4 linked regions of the Arabidopsis thaliana genome follow. The protein of the gene in region 3 interacts with the protein of the main gene of each other region in a pairwise test. Each region holds a gene or a part of one and is shown on either strand. Other genes may lie near its edges. The genes, in order: RABA1c, AT4G30660, TET2 and PGPS2.

Region 1 (4,983 bases), on a different chromosome or scaffold from region 3:
CTATCAATTGCAAAAAGTATTGAATATGAGAGACTTACTTCAACTTCTAGTCCTCTTCTACTACTTACTAAGTATTGTGTCAATGTTCTTGGAAGTTACTGTCCTTCCTCTCGAATCAGATTCGTGGGCTCACTTAGAACGTACCTAGGAAGCTCATATCTAGCACCTGCATTGAATAAGAGCAAGTCATTAAGGTAACAAAACAAGAAACGAGAGAAACGAATCAGAATTGTGTATTACAAACCTCTTTCATCCCAGCACAATGTTAGGTCACGGTTCTGAACAATCACGCCTGCACTGTCAACAATAGTTTGTGCTAGTTTCAAGTCAGCTTCAGCAGCAGCTCGAAGTGCTTCCCATATCTCTGGTTTTCAGTAAATTTCGCTCAGTTTCCAAATGTACATAGTGCGATGCAGCAGATTACAAGAAAGAGAGATATATATATACCTCTTTGACCACCATAGTGTGGAGAGGTGTCCCAAAATTCCTCACGCATGTTCGTAAGTTGTGCCCTTGTGATTGGCTCAGTATGTGCCCACGGTTTAGGTTTCATGATTTTCTTCCTTTTTGCTGTGTCAAACGTACAAAACTCATAAGAGAATGATACAATATAAACTACCACCAATTTTAAAACAGTTCTTTCAGTAACACCAATATTATAGCCATCTACTTCAGAAGATCATCACAGTTTCAATTTCATCAAGACAACAAATACAGTATAAGGCAGAACGAATCAGATTATATTGTCTATTGTTCACAGAACAATTTTTCTTGGTAAAAATGGAATGTTATAACATTAGTAAACGGCCATTTCATTTCAATCATACCATCGATAACAACTTTCTCTGATCCAACATTCTAATTCTGAGCAGTAGAAACAATGTTGAAGAGCATTCTAATTCTCTGCTGAACTAATTCTGAGCTTCAAAATTTGGAATCTTTAACGAATCACAAACATGTCAACACCACAATAAACTGATATTTCCTTCGAAATCACTCCAAGAATCATAACATTTGCAAGATTAGTTCATGTTAACACCTCAAAACTAGAACTATCACCAAGAATCAAAACATTACAACACAAGTATAAATCGTAGCCCAAATTCTGAGAACAAATTCAGCGAGACAAACGGAGTGCGGAATTAAAGGTTTAAGAGAGTATCGATTCCACTAACCTCCGCCTTCATTTCTGGCCTGAGAAGATCCGATACAACCCATTCTCGAACCGTTGAGAGTCGCGTTTGATTAGGTGAAAATTGGAAGTCGCTTCGAACAAGTAAAGTAAATGCCAGTACAAACTCGACCGTCGGGAACGAAACGGAGAAAGATAGCCGCCGATAAGAGTTTCACGGCGGGAGAATCGCCGGAGAAGTCTGCAAGAGTCGTCTTCAAGGTCAAATTCTGTTTTGACTGCCAAATTAGGCCATGAATGTTTTGTTGATTTTGGTGGGTTTTTGGATTTTGGATTGTGGCTTTTGGTTTTTTGTTTTTGATTTTATGAGTTTTTGATTTTGGTGGAGATTTTAGATTTTGCAAAATCTTAAATGGTAACTTTTCTAGTTTTTGATTTTTATATAATTATTATTTAGAAACGTTTTAAAATTATTTATTTAAAACTTTATTTTTATTTTTAAAAACAAAAAAAAAAGAGTTTACGATAGAATTTGTTGAAAATCCCAAAAAAGTGAATTTTGGATTTTAAGAACAAATGACTAGAATCTTTTAAATTTTGAATTCCCTATAATTTAGGAAATTAACTTTTTACAAAATCATGAATGGATGAAAAAGTGGATTTTGTAAAATCAAAAGCCAAAATCAACTTTAAAAACTAGTACCATTCAAGGCCTTAGTTTGTTAGAGAGAAGAAAGTGAAAACAGATCTCCCCGATTTTATTTATAGTCACTTTACTTGCCACGTCATATTATTCTGGATTAGTATATTATATCTGTTTGAATTAATCGTCAGCGTCTGTAGTCCAACGGTTAGGATAATTGCCTTCCAAGCAATAGACCCGGGTTCGACTCCCGGCAGACGCATTCTTTTTTATCATTTTAATCAGTTTAGAAAAACATAAAAGATAAAGACAAATGTGAATTGACGAATACGTCCTCGTCTTTATCGAAGCGAGCAAGGTAATAGATCAGAACGCGTTAACAGGGCAGTTTAGTAAATTTGGCCACACAAATGTTAGATTTCTTTGTGATAAAGACAGTACACAAGTCCTTTGTCTTTCTCGTTTGATATTTTCCAATTCCGCGTCTTTCTCTGTTGAAATCGAAAAAATTTTCAAAACAAAATCTAAGGAAAAAAGAGCAACAAGTTTCAAATCTCATTTGGGTTTTTCATTTTGAAAAGAAGGACCCATTTTTATCTCTCTCTTTGTTTTGTTTTCTCGAATCTGAAGGAGTAAAGTTAAAAGCTTTGAAGGAGAGAATCAATGGCGGGTTACAGAGCAGATGATGAATACGATTACCTATTCAAGGTTGTTCTGATAGGTGATTCAGGTGTGGGCAAATCCAATTTGCTTTCACGATTCACGAAGAACGAGTTTAGTCTCGAGTCAAAATCCACGATCGGGGTCGAGTTCGCGACTCGGAGTTTGAATGTTGATGATAAAGTCATCAAAGCTCAGATTTGGGATACTGCTGGTCAAGAAAGGTCTCATCTTTTTCAACCACATTGTTCATTTCTCGATCTGGTTTCTTATATTAGAACATTTTGATTGAAGTTTTGGGGTTTATGGTTTTGTTTGGTTGCCAAAGACAGTAAATTTTCAGCTTAGGTTAGATCTGTATCAATTGATTTAGATCCATTGGTATTGATCACTTTTATAAGAAGAGATCTGGATTAGTATGTGATTTTGACAACTTGGGTTTTGTGTAAGATAGGAGAATCCTATGATTATGATTATAAAGTTATCAGCTTTATCAAATTTCTTCTGTTGTTTTTGCTATTTTAGGTTTATGTGAGAGAGCTTGATTGGTTTCAGTAACTTCATTTCTACGATTCTTAGCTCTTCTTTCTCAGATTTCACCTAAGATTCTTCAATCATTATCGATTTCTTCTGTTGTTTTTGCTTAGTTTATTTATGTAAGAGAGCTTGATTGGTTTTAGTTGGATTCTTAAACTTTCATTTGAAGCTTTTACTTGGTCTTAATTTCAAAATTGAAAAGCTTCTTGCTTTGTATGATTTGCTATTCTCCATTTCTCTGATCAGTTTTGTAAAGCGTGCATAGTCTGAATTCGAAACTGTAAAGCTTCTTGCCTTTTTTGTGTTCCTGATGTTTCGGTTAACTTAATTCTCTGTTTCGTTGACTTTGTTTCAATAGGTACCGAGCCATCACTAGTGCGTATTACCGAGGAGCTGTTGGAGCGCTTCTTGTCTACGATGTAACCCGACACTCAACATTTGAAAACGTTGAGACTTGGCTGAAAGAACTCAGAAACCACACTGATCCAAACATTGTAGTCATGCTCGTGGGCAACAAATCTGACCTTCGCCATCTCGTGGCTGTTCAGACTGAAGATGCTAAGTCATTCGCCGAGAAAGAATCTCTCTACTTCATGGAAACCTCGGCTCTCGAAGCCACCAATGTTGAGAACGCTTTCGCCGAAGTCCTCACTCAGATTCACCACATTGTGAGCAAGAAGGCGATGGAAGCTGCGAGCGAATCCGCTAATGTTCCATCGAAAGGAGACAAGATCGATATCGGTAAAGATGTTTCAGCTGTGAAGAAAGGTGGATGCTGCTCGAACTAATCAGAGAGTAGAATTATTGTTAACAACCTAAGGATCGGTTTTTGTTAACGGTTCTATCGAATATGAAGATTGCTTTTAGGTTGAGTAATGCCCATTTGGTGTATTTCTGTTATTTATCTGATCTATCAATGTTATTGTTTGAAAATGCTATGTCAAATTTTCAGAACCCTAAATTATATTTATCTCAAACAATAGAATTGTTGAAAAGAAAAGATAAAAATAGTTTCTGCCTTTGATGATTTCAGTTTGGTTGAACATAATTTTCGGTTTGATTTCGTTTCACCGTATCGGTTCATTTTGGTTAAGTGGTACTAAAATCGATTTCTGTTAGGTTGGAATTTTGTTGTTTCGATTTTTTTGGTACAAAACCGAAGGATTACCAAAATATCCGGTTTAGTTTTGGTTTGTTTCGGTTAGCCTTTTTTAGCTCAATTTAGAGCTTGAAACTGAGCAATCGCCGGAGAAACTCTCACTCACAGTTATGGCTACGGCAATGGAAGAGCCAAGGAAGCTGAGAGGCCACAAATCAACTGCCACTTGTTGTATAGCTTCTCGTGACCGGCCTGGAATTGTTCTCACTTCCGGCGAGGTTTCTTAATCTCTAATTCAAACCTCTTTTTTCCGATGAATTTAGGTTTCGTTATTGTAGTTACTTCGCAAGATTCATAGTTTTCCGATCATACGATTATAGGATGGTTGCATTTGCTGGTTTGATTTGCGATGTAAAGATGTTCAATTCATCATCGATGTTGGAACAGAACCAGTTTCATCTCTTTGTTTCAAGACAGGTTTTGTCTCTTTGTGTTTTGTCTGTTTCTCTCTCTTTCAATTTCTTCTCTTTGTTGCAATTTGGTGATAACTTTTATTTGATTTTTCAGGTAATGAGAACATTCTCTATGCTTCTTGTGGAAACGAAATCAAGTCTTTCGATGTTCATACGGTAATTTAAAATGTTCAAACTTTGATTAACTAACTATAACCATATCCTTCACTTAGTTTTAAAGCTTCTCTCTTTATGCAATTTCATAGCTAAGTGCTACTTCTTGGAAGCCATTAGAGAGTTACAATTACAACAAAGATGAAGTTAACCAGGTAGAGATACTAAAAACTCGACTTTTCGAAAAAGTTATCATATTTACCTATGACATTGATGTTGACATCTTTTGATTTGTTAAAGGTAGTATGTAACGGAAGGTCGTCTTTTCTTGCTTCTGCAGATGATT
Region 2 (4,301 bases), on a different chromosome or scaffold from region 3:
ACTCGGTTTCTGTCGTTCCCTGAGTCGATCAACTGGTGGACTCCCGAGTTTGAGGATAAAGTCGATTCATTTCTCCGATCTGTTGTTGATCGGAGTGAAGGAGGTCTCACAGAGATTCGGATCAGGCATTGTACAGAACGCTCTCTATCTTACGCCGCCGAGAGGTACGTATCACTTTTCGTGATAATTCTCAGTTTTAGCTTGAGTCCATAGAGGTTAATCGCAGAGTTTTGATAGAATGAATAAAATGTCATGTGGTTTCCATTTGCAGGTGCCCTAATCTAGAGGTACTTTGGATAAAGAACTGCCCAAATGTTACAGATGCGTCAATGGAGAAGATAGCTATGAACTGTCCAAATCTTAGAGAACTTGATATAAGCTACTCTTATGGCATAACTCACGAGTCTCTGATAACATTGGGGAGGAGTTGCCAAAATTTAAAGATTCTGAAACGGAATTTGTTGCCCCGGCTAGGTCCTAGCCTGCCAACAATCGTCGCGCCACTAGACTATCTGGCTACATTTCCTAGATATGGGAATATAGAGGCTAGAATAATTGGGAAATACATGACACAGCTCAAGCATTTGGAGATTCGATACTCCACATTGACTGCTAGAGGACTTGACTCGGTTTGTAAGGGATGTTCGAATCTAGAGTACATGGACTTACGCGGATGTATATCATTGACCAGAAGTGATATAAACACTAATACGTCGGGCTTGAAGAATTTGACGGAGATCATTAAGCCGGATTTCAATCCTCCGATTGCTGTTTTACGCGTTCCAAGACCTGGTAATCCAAGAGAGGAATGATGGTGTTTGGTTTTTGTTGGACGCACGTTTTGATCAACTTGTTGACCGGTTTTTATGCTCAGAGCTTCCTCTATGGCATTTTTTACTCTGTTCTTATCTATGTTTGAATTCCTAAAACAATGTGAAACCCTTTTTCTTTGTGAGTTTGTCTTGTCACTAAATTCCCAACTTTTGGTGTGTTCTATTAATATTCTTCATTGCTTTAGGTCTGAATCATAGTGTTAAGTGAAATAAACATTGAGGGAAATGGGTTAAGTAAATGTACTGAGATAGCTTGCCATCTAAGCAAGCAACAGAAAAATTGGGCTAATCAAAGTCCGGTCCCGGAAACAATAGAAGACAGGCCTTCTAGGCCAACTTAGTCACGTGATCCATTAACCGTACGATAAGGGGGCGAGTCAGAGTAATAATATCCCACAATGATCAGGTGTGTTGTGTTGCACCATACCTTGCGTGTTCTTGAGATGAAAATATCTAAAGAGTGGGGGCAAGGTAAGGTAATTTTACGAGATGTCGGCATGTAAGCTGAAGCCGTACGATTTATATACCAAACAAATAAACGGTGCAGATCTCGTAGTTGACTTGGTAGCGCCAAAAATAAAAAGCCGTGGATTGCTCTTTTAATTGGATCTCTGTGCTACCGACTACTTTCAGTGTTCTCTTCTTCTCCACTAATTCAGATCACATTCAAGAATCTTCTTCACTCACATCTCTGAAAAAATGGCGAGCAACATGGAAGTTTTCTGCGAGATCTTAATCGCGATCCTTCTTCCACCTCTTGGAGTTTGTCTCAAACGTGGCTGTTGCACTGTAAGTTATTGGAATTTTGGAATCATGAATCTTGAGATTTAGTTTAGAAAATCTGACTCTTAGTTTTTTTGCAGGTAGAGTTCTTGATTTGCTTGGTGCTGACAATCTTAGGATACATCCCAGGGATAATTTATGCACTATACGTGATCGTGTTTCAAAACCGTGAAGGCTCTACCGAACTTGGAGCTCCACTTAACTCAGCTTGATCTGTTTTGGTCCATTACACGGATCAATATGTTGTTGAAACTGTTTTACTTATCATGTACCAAATAATAAGTTGCTTTGCAATTTTTATGTATTGAAGATTTGAGAACATTGTCGCGTTATTGATACATTGCTTATCTTTTTGATGTATAACTTGTTGGCTTTTGCAAAGTCAGGCTACGGACCTTCCTAAGAGTTAATGTATCAAATTCTTTGCCAAGATTGTATTTACCGGAGTTTAAACTTCGCAAAATGCGGAAGCATTTTTGAGTTTGAAAGGATTTTGTATGATGCCAACATATATTATGGTATAGATTATGCTAAAAAAGATAGATTTCTGTTACTTTGGCAAATAATGACAATGATTGTGAGTTGAGGAATCAAAGTCTCAGTAATACGACACCGTTTGAGTCAAAACGTTTCTGTCCAATTCCAGTCTGGTCCCGGGATTAATAAAATAGACAGGCCTTCCCAGGCCCATTTAGTCACATGGATGAGTCAGAGACTAAAATATCTAAAAGTGATCTGATGTGATAAGGGTGCACCATATCGTTCGTTGTGATTCACGAGATGTAATCTAAAGCCGTACGATTTAAATATCAATAAATGAACGGTGCAGATCTCGCACATTGACTTTGTAGTGGAAACAAAATAAAACGTGGACTGATCTCTCTTCATTGGTACTCTCAACTCTGTGACAGCAAGTTTCAGTGTTTTGTCTTTTAAAAAAACTCTTAAAGCTTCTTCTTCTCTCATCTCATCTCTCTGAAAAAATGCCGAGCAACTGTGAGATTCTGTGCGAGATCATTATCGCGATCCTTCTTCCTCCTCTCGGAGTTTGCTTCAGGAAAGGATGCTGCACTGTAAGTTCTCTCTCTCTCTCTTTCGAATTCCTCAATTTTGAAGAATCCTGGAACTTCTTATAGAGACTGTAATTTTGGATTGATTATAATGTAATTTGGTATGAGTAATGAAGGGAGTGCTTAATCTATGATATGAATCGCAGAAATTCTCTGGATTGGATCAATTTATGTTTGATTCATTGATTCCTGAAAGCTTGGATAATCATTTGAAGAAAGTTGAATTTTTTTTATGTGTGGTTTGTTTTGGCAGGTGGAGTTTTTGATATGCCTGGTGTTGACGATCTTAGGCTATGTCCCGGGGATAATATATGCGATTTACGTGATTGTGTTTCAGCACCGTGAAGAGTACTTTGATGAATACAGACGCCCCATCTACTCTGCTTGATTTCTGTTTCTTTGGAACTGTGTTGCTTTGACTTGTACCAATAAAGTTGCTTTGCAGTTGTTTTCAGAGATTTGAAAACGTTTGTGTGTCATTTATATGCAATATTGAAAGTTTCTTCTGTTATCAGCTTATGAACCCTCCTGCTATGTGTGCTTATGCATCAGGTTGTTGACATAGTGTTTTCGCAAGGCACAAATTAAATTATTAAATTGAAAGGTTAAAAAAAAAAAGAGTTTAATTAGAAGGCGAAGAACATCAACAGAATTGAGCTCGCGACCGTGGAACCGTAGCGCAATGCCATCGAGAGACAAGGTCGACTAGTAGCGGATGATCCACCCGCACCATGACCACTACTGGGGACACGACGGTGGCTACGACCACCACCACGACTACCACCACCAACACCACCAAAACGAGCTTTCCTCATGAAAACTCGAAGAGAGTCATGATGATCCAACGGATTGGAGTCACCGTGTTGTGCAAGTCTTCGTTCACTCTCCTTATTTTCAGATGAAATTGGCAAAGGCTGAGAGAGTAACAATAGGAGTACAATCAATGAACAAGAAAATGCCAGTGAAGTCCTCATTTCTGTTTTATCAAATAATATGTGTGTATATACATGTATCTGATCGAAAAAAATCAGAAATATGTGTTAATTTTACAATGATGGGACGCATTATGTGTGCAAAAGAATTAGTATTTATAATATCGCTAGGCTTAGGTAACGAAACGACCATGGCTTAAACATGGGCTACTTCTTCTTTGAAATGATGTTTAATACTATTATTGTATTTAACTATTGGGATACTTATTACTTATTAGCAAAGAAACTTTCCTTTTGCCAGCAACAAAGAAAGTTTCCGAGAGGCAAAATCTAATTACGTAAGGGAGGATCATGATTAATTAAGCCTAATGGGTAACAGACCCAAATGTTATTATTTATCGTTTTCTTATGTGAAATGGAATTTAGTGAATTTCCAACGTAAGGCAAATAGTGGTCGAAGGGAAATGGTGCCTAGTAGTTAGTTCTAATTGTAACTGAATTTGATTGAATTCATGTAGTAGATGTTTTAAAGAGGTTGTTGTTAATGGTAAGAATAAACAAAGGAACAATGTTCACTATACCTGCATTCTCTCTCCACTCAGTCTTCAAAATAATTGATCGTGAGATTAAGAACACTATCACCGCCAAAAAAATCAAAGGGGTCACTTCTGAAATCTTATGGC
Region 3 (6,009 bases):
TTGTTTCAAATCGGCGGATGAATCGGTGTTTCCGTTACAAATCGAATCCAGATCTGAGATTTTGAGATGGTTATCGTGAGATTCGAGAAGAAGAGGATGATCTTTCCCGAGAAGATCGTCGGGACCGAATCTGTGTGGCAAGAAGCTTCCGAGACGTAAGAATCCGTCTGAATCGGCGGCGGAATCGGAATCGGCGGAGTTGTTTGGATCGGTGATAAGGATTTTGATTTCAGGTGCGTCGCGAATTTCTTGGAGGAATTGACGGCAATGGCCACATGGTGCGGCGGAGACGGCGAAGAAATTGAGATGACGTTCACCGTTGAGTGTGAGATTGGTGACGAGGAACTGTTCGGCGTGGATTGAGTGGTGGAGAGGGAGATTTGGGAATTCGACATTGACGCCTAAGAAGATCCGACCTGATGATCCGAGTCCGACGACTGCGACGTTGAATTTCGAAATCGGAGTTCGAGCGTAGGATTGTGCTGGTTTGACTAGCGACGGGAGGAGCTGAATGACGGAAACGCCGAGTTGTTTCGCGGCGGATTCTGCTTCTTTGGATTGGATTACGAAGCTTGGCTTATCCATTGCGGGTTGATCCGGTTTGGGTCGCGTAAATGGGTCGGGTTATTTTTAGATGGGAGAGATCCGGGAAATGAGGAATTATGAAATGGATGCTGGACAAACAAACTATTTATAGATACAACAACGTAGGAAACTACATTACGCAAATGAAGTTTTGGTTCGGTTTCGGTTATGTTTCGGTTTACGTTTGGTACAAAATAGAAAAATTATATCAGAATTGAATTTACAAATAATATGATTTCGGTTTGACTAAGCCGCATGGAATCATTGTTATGAAAACTACCAAAAATGCAATAGAGTATTAGTGTAACGTAATGTTAAAATCGTGGTCTAATTAAGAAAACACCTAGTAGTTTCATCAACCACGTTACGAAACTACAATAATCTCCGGATAATATTATTTTAGAGGTCAGAAATGAATTAAACTATAGCTAAAAGACAGCTTAGTTTCATATAATTTTGATAGTATTAAACATTTTAATTCCGGTGTTGTCAATTTTAAGTTCCCAAAAAAATAGTTAAGAACAAAGGTGATAGTACTATTGTTGACAAAAGAAAACAAAGATTAGGTTTTGTTCTTATCGTTGGAATCAACGTCACAGACCAAAAGAGAAGTCTTTGTTGATAATTACGTTTTAACCAACGGTTAAGTTTTTCTTAATAGAAGAAACTGAGAAAACTCTATGACAACAATCAGTTTTCCAATTAGGGTCAGTTGTTTGTTTACATAGATAAGTGCCATTTTGTCGAACATAAACTGATAAACATAGAAACAAAATCCATAAAAAGAAAAAAACCTTTTCCACACACAAAGAAATCATAATATGACGAGCTATTTCCGAAAACTCCAATCTCAACAAACTACAAACAAATTTATAGACACAAACACATTTTAGACCCAACCTTGTTTGTATTTGCGGAAGAGATCCTCAGTCTGAGCATTCCTAAACGCGCTACAAGCAATAACATAAACCCATATGAGAACAACGACTGTGATGATAAGTATGAGATTTGCTTTACGCCATTCTTTTCTAAGGTTTCCCAATAAACCAGCTTTGCATGAGTTGCAATTGTAACAAAGCTGGCTTTGGTCATTGCTCCATAAGTAACAGTCTGCGTCTGCAGCCATATTGGTTGGATTTAGCCACAGTGTTGGGTTCACAAAGTTGTAGCCACATGCGGTTGGTGGTTTGCAGCAGCCGGACTGTAAAACAACAAATGTTCAAGAAATTGTCATAATTAGATTTGACCAAATATATGCTTAACCATGTTTTCAAATATGATAATCATAGTCTTAAAGATATTTACACTTTTTTTTTATTGGTAAAAAATATTTACACATTGTAAACACAAACGCTACCATTTGCGTCTGCCCTTTGTGTTTACAACAAAAATTTCATTTTGCTTAACATGGTTAATATTATGGGTTCATGTGGAGAAAAAAAAAGTATATACTAAAGGCAAACACAAACAATCAAGAGTTCAAGAGTCAAGACCTAAAACAATGAAACACTAGTTTTAGTCTGAAAGCTATAAAAATAAAACGACTACAAGAAACCTAAAAAATTGCTTGCTTGGTATGAAAGTACATAAAAAAAATGAAAAAACATGTTGAATCTTATCACAGAATAATCTTCTTTTACTTATGAGTAAATTTTGGTTCTGTCTCGAGGACGAGAAATTGTATAACTCTTTCTTAGAAATAAACTTATTTTTTCTTGAGTCCTAATTTATCCAATAAGAAAAATTATAATGTGAGTGGGGCAACATGGGAGGGATATAATTATCTATTATGTTTCATGATGGAGACAAAGACTTGTGATCGTAATTATTGAATCAAATCATTGGTCCAATATTTAATAATGTCTAATGACTAAAAGATTTAAAATTCAGTCGAGACCTCAGCATCTAGGCTTATTTAATTATTAGTGGTTCCAATCTTGTTACAGTGACAATGGACTAGGATGACAACTTGCTATAGAAGTTTTAGGAATAAAATTATTTAAATCACCCTTAATCTCTCCATGTTTAAAGCTTAAAAGACATAAAAGACATGACAATGAATTTTAAGAGTGATTTTAATTAATAAAATTAAATAGAAAAAGTAGGAAATTTTGTCAAGTTTGAGTTGTGATCACGAAAAACACTATCTAAAGTGAATGGGATCATTGAATTTTATGAGTGAGATAGTGACAAAGGAAAAATATAATTAATACACAGATAAAACATAGTTTATCATGTACCATATTGTGGGTGCATGGGTGGGTCCTTATGATAGTGTATAATTTTGAAATCTGACTATCTTACTATATAATCTTGTGGACTTGGTCTCCAGCAACTTCTACACCAGTCTACTAGGAATAAATATGTGTTCAATAATGGTGATTACATATGCCTAATCTATGAGTTTTACCACAAAATGGCACTAACTGCGAAACGTTAAGAAAGCTAATGTAGGTTTCTCTCCAACACTAGAAAACATAAGATTAATTAAGTCAGAAAATATTTTTTTAGTTTTTTCAAAGATGAGGAAATCCAAAACGAAATAACTTAAAGCTGCAAAACAAAAAAAAAGAATATAGAGAATAAGAACAATTCTCTTTTGGACATCTTCACAAAAGCTAAAGAGAAATTTTTTAACTTTTTGATTTAAAACCACATACTTTACTTTTTGAAAGAAAAAATAACCTATCTTTCTATGGCAAGAACAAACCGTAGGTCTCACATAATCTAGAGATTTTACAAAACATTCTCTTTACTTCGTATCTTATCTCCATTAATCATCTAATAATATCTAATTAAACCCACAATGATTCGTTGGCATAGTTGCATAACCGATATTTAGTCTAGATTTACCTCTAAACCAAACCTAAACCGGAAACTAGAAATTTCGGGGTTCTTTTTATAAAAGAGAATAAAAGAAGAAAGAACATGCCTGGAGAGGAGTGATCTTAGAGGAGGAGAAGAACTGATCGGCGGTGATGAATTCTTGGTTGAGTTTAGGACAAACATTAGTATCAGCCAAACAAGCCCTTAGCCTTCCCCAGTTCTTGGAATCCACAACGTTCTCCTTAAGCCAATTCGAGAACCCTTCAAGCCTATACTCTTTATAACCTCTACCCGGAACCCGATACGATCCATCGGGCCGGGTCACGACGAATGCAAATATAAGAACCACCAGCAAAAGTCCGATCAATATCGCCATACAGCACAAGTAAACCGCCAGTAGAGTTTCCTTGTACCTGAAATATGAGAGCTCAAAGTTTACATCTTTATGATTCAATTTGTGTCTATGTTTTCAAAGTCTTGAAGTTCTTTGATTCTTACTTGTAGGCGCCGATGAAGCCTGTGGCGGAGACGACGAGGATGAGAACGCCGAGGACGACAACGGGCCAACGGAGGAGATTGACACACTCGTTGTCTGGCTTTGAAGCTAGCCATATACCTGACGCCGTTATTGGTATGGAACAGAGTAACGCTAGTAAGTTGAGTATCGCCGTTAAGTTATTCGCTAACGCCATTAAATTTTCTCTCTCTCTCTCTCTTTGTTCTTGAAGATTCGTGCTTTTTATGGAAAGAAAATGAAATAATGAGAGTGAGAGGAGTGTCTCTGTTTTTGTCTTAATGACTTATGAGGTCGGTGGTTAGAGATGATGGGATGTGTGAAACCAGTTACTGCTATTTACAGAAAACGATGTTCGGTTTGGTCCGGTCCGGTTAATCACTGATTTTGCTGATTTGGATTTTTCGACAACGGTGGTTTTAAGAAAAAAGAATTAGATATTGGATTAAAGTTAACATGTGAATGTCAGAATAAAATATGTTTAGCAATGAAAAGTTAGGTTTTGAACAAGTTTTGGGTTGTGATGTAATAAAGAGAACTTGTTAATCTGGTCGGACCGGCTTTTGGTTTAGAATTTGGAATCTTGAACGGGACACGTGGATACGCGAGATGCCTTTTGTGTTAATATTCTTCCATTCTGCGAGTTACCGAATGCATCAACCAGTGAGAACTATCCACGTGGCACCGACGACTTTGGGTCATTTGCATTGAACGTATGTTACTTTCGACAGAGAATGCAAAATGGAGTAAGTTCCATTGTTCGGAAATCGGAATTTTCTTCTTTTCCAAGCATTAGAGGTTTCGGAGCAGGATTTGTCGTTGGCTGATGAGTGAAATGTCGGGTAATGGTCAAGAGATAAGCTTTTGTTTTGGTTCAGAGGATTGGGATTGCACACAAGCTGCTCGATAGAATGTGTGAACCAAAACATATGGATGAATTTTTCTCATCTCGATTTTATTGCGATTGGAGAAGAATTTTGAGTCAATACACACTTAGCTTTCAGTTTTAGATGCTGATATAGAAATGCTATTTGTTTGATTCTAGGAATTGGGAAGGAAATGAGTCAAATCAGAGAGAATATGGAAAGAGATGATGGCGGAGTTGTGGATTACGTTAAGAGTTGAATTACATCTTATAAATCATGAAATTGACTGTCAATCTTAGAGCTTAGATTACAAGCTCTTTGTCTAATCTCAAGTTCGACACAGAGCTTGATGAGACTGCTTCAGTTTGGCTTTGGAACTTTTCAAGTGGAAGTGAAGAAAGAAGAGTGAAGTAGTATAGCTGAATCAGCAAGATTCTGACATGGCTGGTTATTTAAATTATAAGGAAACACAAGAAGAAGACAAAGTTTTTATGATGTGAGTACAGAAGCGTCAAATTCCAGATGCATCCTAGGCTGAATCCGCATTTCCCATTTTCTTCATGGTCTCAAGTCTGGGGCCTTTGTCTCCAAACTTGGTAGTTGAATAAAGCTTTAGGTAGTCTTGAAAACGGTAGCCACTTGGATACAAGAGCTTTGGAGCTGGAGATATTATGGCATCACCAGCCGGATTGTAAAACGTAGCAATCGACAGTCTACTTCCATGCTTCACTGTCATTACACGGTGAACAACACTCTTGTACCTCCCATTACTCAGTATCTCTAGTTGATCACCGGTATTGACAAAAATGGTATTGTTCTTGGATGGCGGTATAGGAACCCACTTCCCATCTTTAAAGAACTCAAGACCAGGCACTTGATCATCCTGCAGGAGTAATATGATTCCCCCAGCATCCGTATGTTCTCTCAGCCCTCTCATAAGCTCAGGACGTGGGCATTCTGGGTATTTAGCCACTTTTGTTCCAAAAGCTGGACCTTTTGGACCAGAAAAGGCATTCATTATGTCTTCCTGATCAAGACCAAGATTCTCACACATGAGCTTGGAGAGTCTCTCTGCAAACTTGTGCAGTTGACAAACATATTCATCCATCGTCTTGCTGCAAATATCAATTTCACCCTCTCACATTGTTTAGTTAAATAAGCAAACAGGTAAAAATGGTAGAGCCTTTGGTACTATTCAATTCTTAATTACTTTACCTG
Region 4 (5,304 bases), on a different chromosome or scaffold from region 3:
TACTATATCCAATGACAAAATTGCATCTCTCATCAGTTTGTTTTCAAGAAATTGAACAACAGAAACAACTCGAATTTGCTATCAAAGACTACCTTCACTAACGATTATGCCACATTGAGAACAATAGTCACCACTGGACAAAAATCAGCATTCAAATCCAAATCACTAGGATGTACTTCAAATCAAGACCAATAATCATCAAAATCCCAACTAAATTGTTAAGAAAATGCAAAATTACGCTAACAACAAGACGGATTAAAACTCTCGTAATCGGAGATACAACATTTCGCTCAGCGAGTCTAGCAAAAAGCTAAAGAGAGAAGAAGCGCAAGTTCAAACCAAAAAAGAGGAAGCAGAAATGTACAGGGGAAAGGGGGAAAAACGCGAAACCTCTTGTGCTCAAAGGCGACGAGAGGATTAGAAGGCTTAGAAGCAGCAGCAGCAGCAGCGGCGGCGGCGGCAACGCTCCTCATTCGTTAGCGTGAAAAAGAGATCTAACCGGTGAAGAGTTGGTGAGAGGACGAAGAAGAAGATCCAAATCTCTACGCTAGTTCATCATTACCCGAATGAAGTTGAAGCAGGAGGAGGAAGTTGCAGTAGAGAGAGAGAGGAAGTGGAGAAATCACATGGAAAGGGCGAGATTGTCGACCAAGGTTTATTACATGTGTGACTCTCTCTCTCTCTCTCTCTCTCTCTCTCTCTCTCTATTTTGACTGCGTTTCGATTCCTTGACACTGAGTCCAAAAGGTCTCTTTCATCTTTCTCTCATTTTTGTATATCTTTTTTACTCCTATCTTTTTAACTACTTACTGATTTTGTATGTAAATGTGAATTTCACAGTTGTCTTCCAATATTTTGCTATGTCAATTTTATCTTCAGATAATTTGATTGAGTTAATTATCTTATTTGTAAGACCAAAATGACAATTTGATGAAAGAAAAATCATATCCTTATATCTAATTTTTGTGTGGTTGTGCGAGTCTATATCAACCTACTTTGAAAGATAGACAAAGTTGTTATTAGATATGGGATTAAGGACATCTACGTCATGTATCATCCTTATAAGATTCAGTTTAAAGTACGAACGTTATTAATTTGATGTATGTGTAACAAGCGTGAACGTATGGTTTACCATACCGTATTCAATTTGTAGCGCGACCATGGTTGGTCTTTAATTATTAACCTCAAATAGTCGAACTTCAAAAAAAAACTAAACACATTTACCAAAATCTTTGATTGATGAGATTCATTTTTAACCCTAAAAAGATAGATATGCAAGAAAATAATTGTGGGGATTGTAATGGTTGTCGATTTGTCGGTAAAGGACCAATTGCTTTAGGAGTTGGTAAAGGACTTTTCTAGGGAATTAAATATGTCTTTAATTTTTTTTTATTTTTTTTTAATAAGTTTTTCTTAGATTCGCTAAATCCATAATCTAAGTATTCACCATATTAAATTTAATCAAGTGGGAAATTTCTATCATATATTAATTAGAATTCTTATTTTAGTTACTAATTGTTTGACTCTAATAGAACTTTCATATATGTAGTTAATAGTCTCACTCTTTTTTCCTTTCAATCACACTTGGCAAACTTAAGAGAGGTTTACATAATTGTGTTAAGAGTTTTAGGTGCAAAATCAATAGAAGATGAAACAAATATGAAAATCCAGATTTGAGAAATTATGAAGAATATCCACCAATGGCTAGTTGAATATATACACAGTTATAACTTTAGTCAATTCAATGGTTTAAATATTATAATCTACTATTTCGTGTACTGTATATTTATTTACCTATATACGTACGTGTATAATTTGGAGTTTTGTTTAGGGGCTAGTAAGGAGCTTAAATTCTTGTTTCTATAATACTCTCACGTTCTCAAACACTTGTTTACAAAACCAAATATTCGTCGGTTTGGGTAAACCAACACAAATGATTATATGGTTGTTCATTATCACAATGATTATCTTCCAAATGTGCACCAAGTTTTTGTTAGTGTTTTAGATTCAATCATGGAAGTATGGAACCACAAACGTACGTAAGAGGAAGAGTGCAGCACATAATAGAAAAGAGCAATGGCCAAAGAAGGCATTACAACGAAATGAGACTTGGGATTTGACACACATCAACTCATGCAAAAGGTTGTAGGTAGCGAATGGGTGTTGAAGATTAACTATCAAAGTGATGACTCCATCGAACAATATAAGTTGAGATTAGTAGCTATATGATATATTTTTTTTGGTGGGAAGTAGCTATATGATATTGATTCATGCAAACATACAACGAAGATATTAGTTTTACATTTTTAACAAATATATAAAATCAAAATCAGCTAAGAATTAAAGAGAAGGCCCAAAACGTGCCATTTGCTTCATTATCAATCGTCCATATCAATCCAAAGTCGACGATTATCGGCGCACGTTACGCACCCGGCTCGCTTATTTTCATAGTTAGCGCACGTTAGCATCTCTCCCAAGCTGCATTATTATTGGCCGTTGTGTGACTCCCATAAAGGCTTAGGGTTCCGGATTCAGGTCGGTGTCGCCACCGCCCTTCTTCGTGCTTCTCTTCCTTCTTTGTCGGATCGTCAGGTTTACAGATCAGCTCTTGTGGAGGATATGGGTGAAGAAGACACCGCGACGGTGGATCAGAACAGTTTCGGTGGTGGCAAAGATTCATTGCTTCGTAATCGTCATTCGTCGCCATTGCCTTCACCGACACAGCTTTCTTCTAAAGTGATTACATTGCCTACCGTATTAACCCTTGGCCGTGTAGCTGCCGTTCCGATTCTCGTCGCCAGTAAGTTTACTTTTTTCGACTCTGAATTCTGGTTGGAGTCATTGTACTTGTTCGGTGTGTGATAGGAGTCTAATCATCAGATCTAAACGAAGATGCAATTGCGATTTTTCCAGATCAGAGTTTTGTTGGTTTGAATTCGAGAAATTCGACAACTTTTTTGAAATTGAGCTTATTGCTATGTGTACTTCACTTGTTACCACTCTTCAAATTTAATCTGAATTGGATCTTTTGATGTTCAATTCCTGATTTTGATTGTTTTATCTCCCATTGCATTATCTTCATCATCTCCTTTGGTTTTTGAAATGTAGCCTTTTACGTTGATTGCTGGTGGGGAAGAACTGCTACGACAAGTATTTTCATTGCAGCAGCCATTACAGATTGGCTTGATGGATATATTGCACGGAAGGTAACTTCTTTCTTTACCCTTTCATGTTCTTCTGCATAGTTGAAATTGTAAGCTTTTAACAGTGAGACGTGCCTTTTCAGATGAGATTGGGTTCTGAATTTGGTGCATTTTTGGATCCAGTGGCAGATAAGGTCAGATACCTTCTTCCTTAGCTACCTCTATCCTCTTTATCTTTTCTCCACCAGAAAGGAATGATTTTTATCATTCTGATTTATGTCATTGGTATGCGCTTATGGTAGCAGCTACATTGATATTGTTGTGCACTAAACCAATGGTCGCCGTTGTCTTAGGACCAGTTCCATGGTTAGTGACAGTACCTTCAATCGCCATCATTGGTAGAGAGGTAAGATACAGAATTCTGATATACCGTTAAGTAAGTTTCACTTATCAGCTTTCTGTTCTAAACTAGTCGGTATACTTTTCACTGTAGATTACTATGTCTGCAGTAAGAGAATGGGCTGCATCTCAAAACGGCAAGCTTTCAGAGGTAAAGTTATCACCATCATGTGCGTTCTCTTGGATCTGTTTTCGTAAGTGTTCCTTTCCTAATCCATGGAAATGGCATTGATGTTGCTAGGCTGTTGCTGTAAATAGCTTGGGAAAGTGGAAAACTGCAACGCAGATGATAGCGCTAACCATACTTCTTGCAAGCCGGGATAGCAGTTTTGAGAGACTATTACCGTCGGGTATTGGGTTGCTCTATGTATCTGCAGGGCTCTCTATATGGTCTTTAGTTGTTTATATGAGGAAGATATGGAGAGTACTGCTAAAGAAGTAGCAACAAAAAACTCTTTTTTCGGGCTTTTTGCATTCAGTATATACACATAGAATGGAAGATTTACCTCTCTTCTTCTTGAAGAAAGCTGACTAATTTCTCTCTGGATACAAATGAAATTAGTTGGGCAAGCACTATAAGACTCTTATATGATGCTTTAGTTCTGTTTTCAACTTTGGGCACTGGGGTCGTACTCTACTTGGTTTGGTTTTGTATAATATCTCTGAATCACATTGCTCCGGCTAGCACCGAATTTTAATGAAGCAGCAAGCACGATCTTATGGGCAATGATGGAAAAGCAGCAGGCGCAATTTCGTTCTAGTCGAAGACTTGGTCTCATGAATTCTGATATAAATGAAAACAATTGTTGCATGTCATGTAGATGCTTTTACCGATACAATATAATTTATATATATAAAAAACTTTGGTTACAATATCTCTTCCCATTTGATCCTTCTAAACCCTTGTAAATGGAGATATCCGGAGAACCATCTGGTTAGAGACGTGCTTCTGCTTGGACTCGTCTCTTGTATCTTTCAACAAGCTCTTGTGGATCTTGACGGGTTTCGGTGTAAGCTTCGATTTTGTTCATCTCCTGCATAAAAGCAAAGAACCAGAGATTAGCATGTGTATGGGGAATATTTAGCCTTAGAATGAAAGGTAGTTACAAATGTCTAGGTAATAGCTTAACCTGAATCCAAAGGGCAAGGTTAGGCCGACCAGATGTAATATCGACGTTCATCACATCACTTAAGATAAGCCGAAATCTCTCTATGAAAGGAGCATATGCAACATCAACCTATAGAAATAAACACCATTTTTTTTCTCAGCAGCAAGAGTTGATATGGGTATGGCAAATTGAATATAGAAATATAATCGACAATACCAAACTAAATTGACCAAGAAAGAAAGGCCCTTCATTGAATTTGGAAAGAGCCTGCTCGATGTAATCAAATGCAACATCTGAAAAAATGAAAGACAAGATTCATACACATGCCAACATAATGTATCTGCAAACACAGAAGTAAGATAACAACTTCATCTTCTAATCACCTGCTGCATTAGTGTCAGTGCCGTTTAATGTGGATCTTACAGCCTTGGAGAAGGAGTCAGTGTAAGAGAGTAACTCATCAGCTACAACTTGCTTCTCTAAACCCTGTTATTATTCCATCCATGGATATCTCTCTTCTAAGTATAGGTTCACTTAATGTGTTAAAATTGAGCTCAATAAATCAAAGATGTCATAGATACTCACATCGGGTGTAAGCGAAGGCCCTTCAAAATTAGTGTCAATGTACTTAATCAGATCAAGGCTCTCTCCCA

Evidence for each region.
Region 1: the proteins of TET2 (region 3) and RABA1c interact in a protein complementation assay, tested with the Arabidopsis thaliana proteins (one large-scale study listed by BioGRID).
Region 2: the proteins of TET2 (region 3) and AT4G30660 interact in a protein complementation assay, tested with the Arabidopsis thaliana proteins (one large-scale study listed by BioGRID).
Region 4: the proteins of TET2 (region 3) and PGPS2 interact in a protein complementation assay, tested with the Arabidopsis thaliana proteins (one large-scale study listed by BioGRID).

What each region holds. Positions count from the first base shown.
Region 1 is NC_003076.8:18,556,880-18,561,862, forward strand, and holds RABA1c (RAB GTPase homolog A1C), read left to right. Parts: upstream 1-2,180; 5' UTR 2,181-2,438; coding exon 2,439-2,659; intron 2,660-3,330; coding exon 3,331-3,760; 3' UTR 3,761-4,066; downstream 4,067-4,983. Other genes in the region: AT5G45740 (Ubiquitin domain-containing protein), read right to left, coding at 96-166, 245-364, 448-570, 1,176-1,218; AT5G45760 (Transducin/WD40 repeat-like superfamily protein), read left to right, coding at 4,242-4,349, 4,452-4,548, 4,639-4,700, 4,790-4,852, 4,938-4,983. UniProt on the Arabidopsis thaliana protein: Intracellular vesicle trafficking and protein transport.
Region 2 is NC_003075.7:14,952,871-14,957,171, forward strand, and holds AT4G30660 (Low temperature and salt responsive protein family), read left to right. Parts: upstream 1-2,508; 5' UTR 2,509-2,599; coding exon 2,600-2,689; exon of another isoform or gene 2,690-2,939; coding exon 2,940-3,074; 3' UTR 3,075-3,130; exon of another isoform or gene 3,131-3,290; 3' UTR 3,291-3,301; downstream 3,302-4,301. Other genes in the region: AT4G30640 (RNI-like superfamily protein), read left to right, coding at 1-164, 272-812; AT4G30650 (Low temperature and salt responsive protein family), read left to right, coding at 1,533-1,622, 1,697-1,828; AT4G30662 (uncharacterized protein), read right to left, coding at 3,313-3,660.
Region 3 is NC_003071.7:8,470,919-8,476,927, forward strand, and holds TET2 (tetraspanin2), read right to left. Parts: upstream 4,236-6,009; 5' UTR 4,104-4,235; coding exon 3,910-4,103; intron 3,825-3,909; coding exon 3,518-3,824; exon of another isoform or gene 2,687-3,517; intron 1,787-2,686; coding exon 1,475-1,786; 3' UTR 1,216-1,474; downstream 1-1,215. Other genes in the region: CDA1 (cytidine deaminase 1), read right to left, coding at 1-585; ACO1 (ACC oxidase 1), read right to left, coding at 5,321-5,906, 6,007-6,009. UniProt on the Arabidopsis thaliana protein: May be involved in the regulation of cell differentiation.
Region 4 is NC_003074.8:20,394,241-20,399,544, forward strand, and holds PGPS2 (phosphatidylglycerolphosphate synthase 2), read left to right. Parts: upstream 1-2,356; 5' UTR 2,357-2,619; coding exon 2,620-2,800; intron 2,801-3,108; coding exon 3,109-3,206; intron 3,207-3,286; coding exon 3,287-3,337; intron 3,338-3,435; coding exon 3,436-3,549; intron 3,550-3,636; coding exon 3,637-3,693; intron 3,694-3,783; coding exon 3,784-3,984; 3' UTR 3,985-4,413; downstream 4,414-5,304. Other genes in the region: AT3G55020 (Ypt/Rab-GAP domain of gyp1p superfamily protein), read right to left, coding at 391-473; GSTL2 (glutathione transferase lambda 2), read right to left, coding at 4,478-4,576, 4,673-4,780, 4,868-4,944, 5,035-5,137, 5,237-5,304. UniProt on the Arabidopsis thaliana protein: Catalyzes the committed step to the synthesis of the acidic phospholipids, including phosphatidylglycerol (PG). Together with PGPS1, required for the proper embryo development by providing PG accurate levels.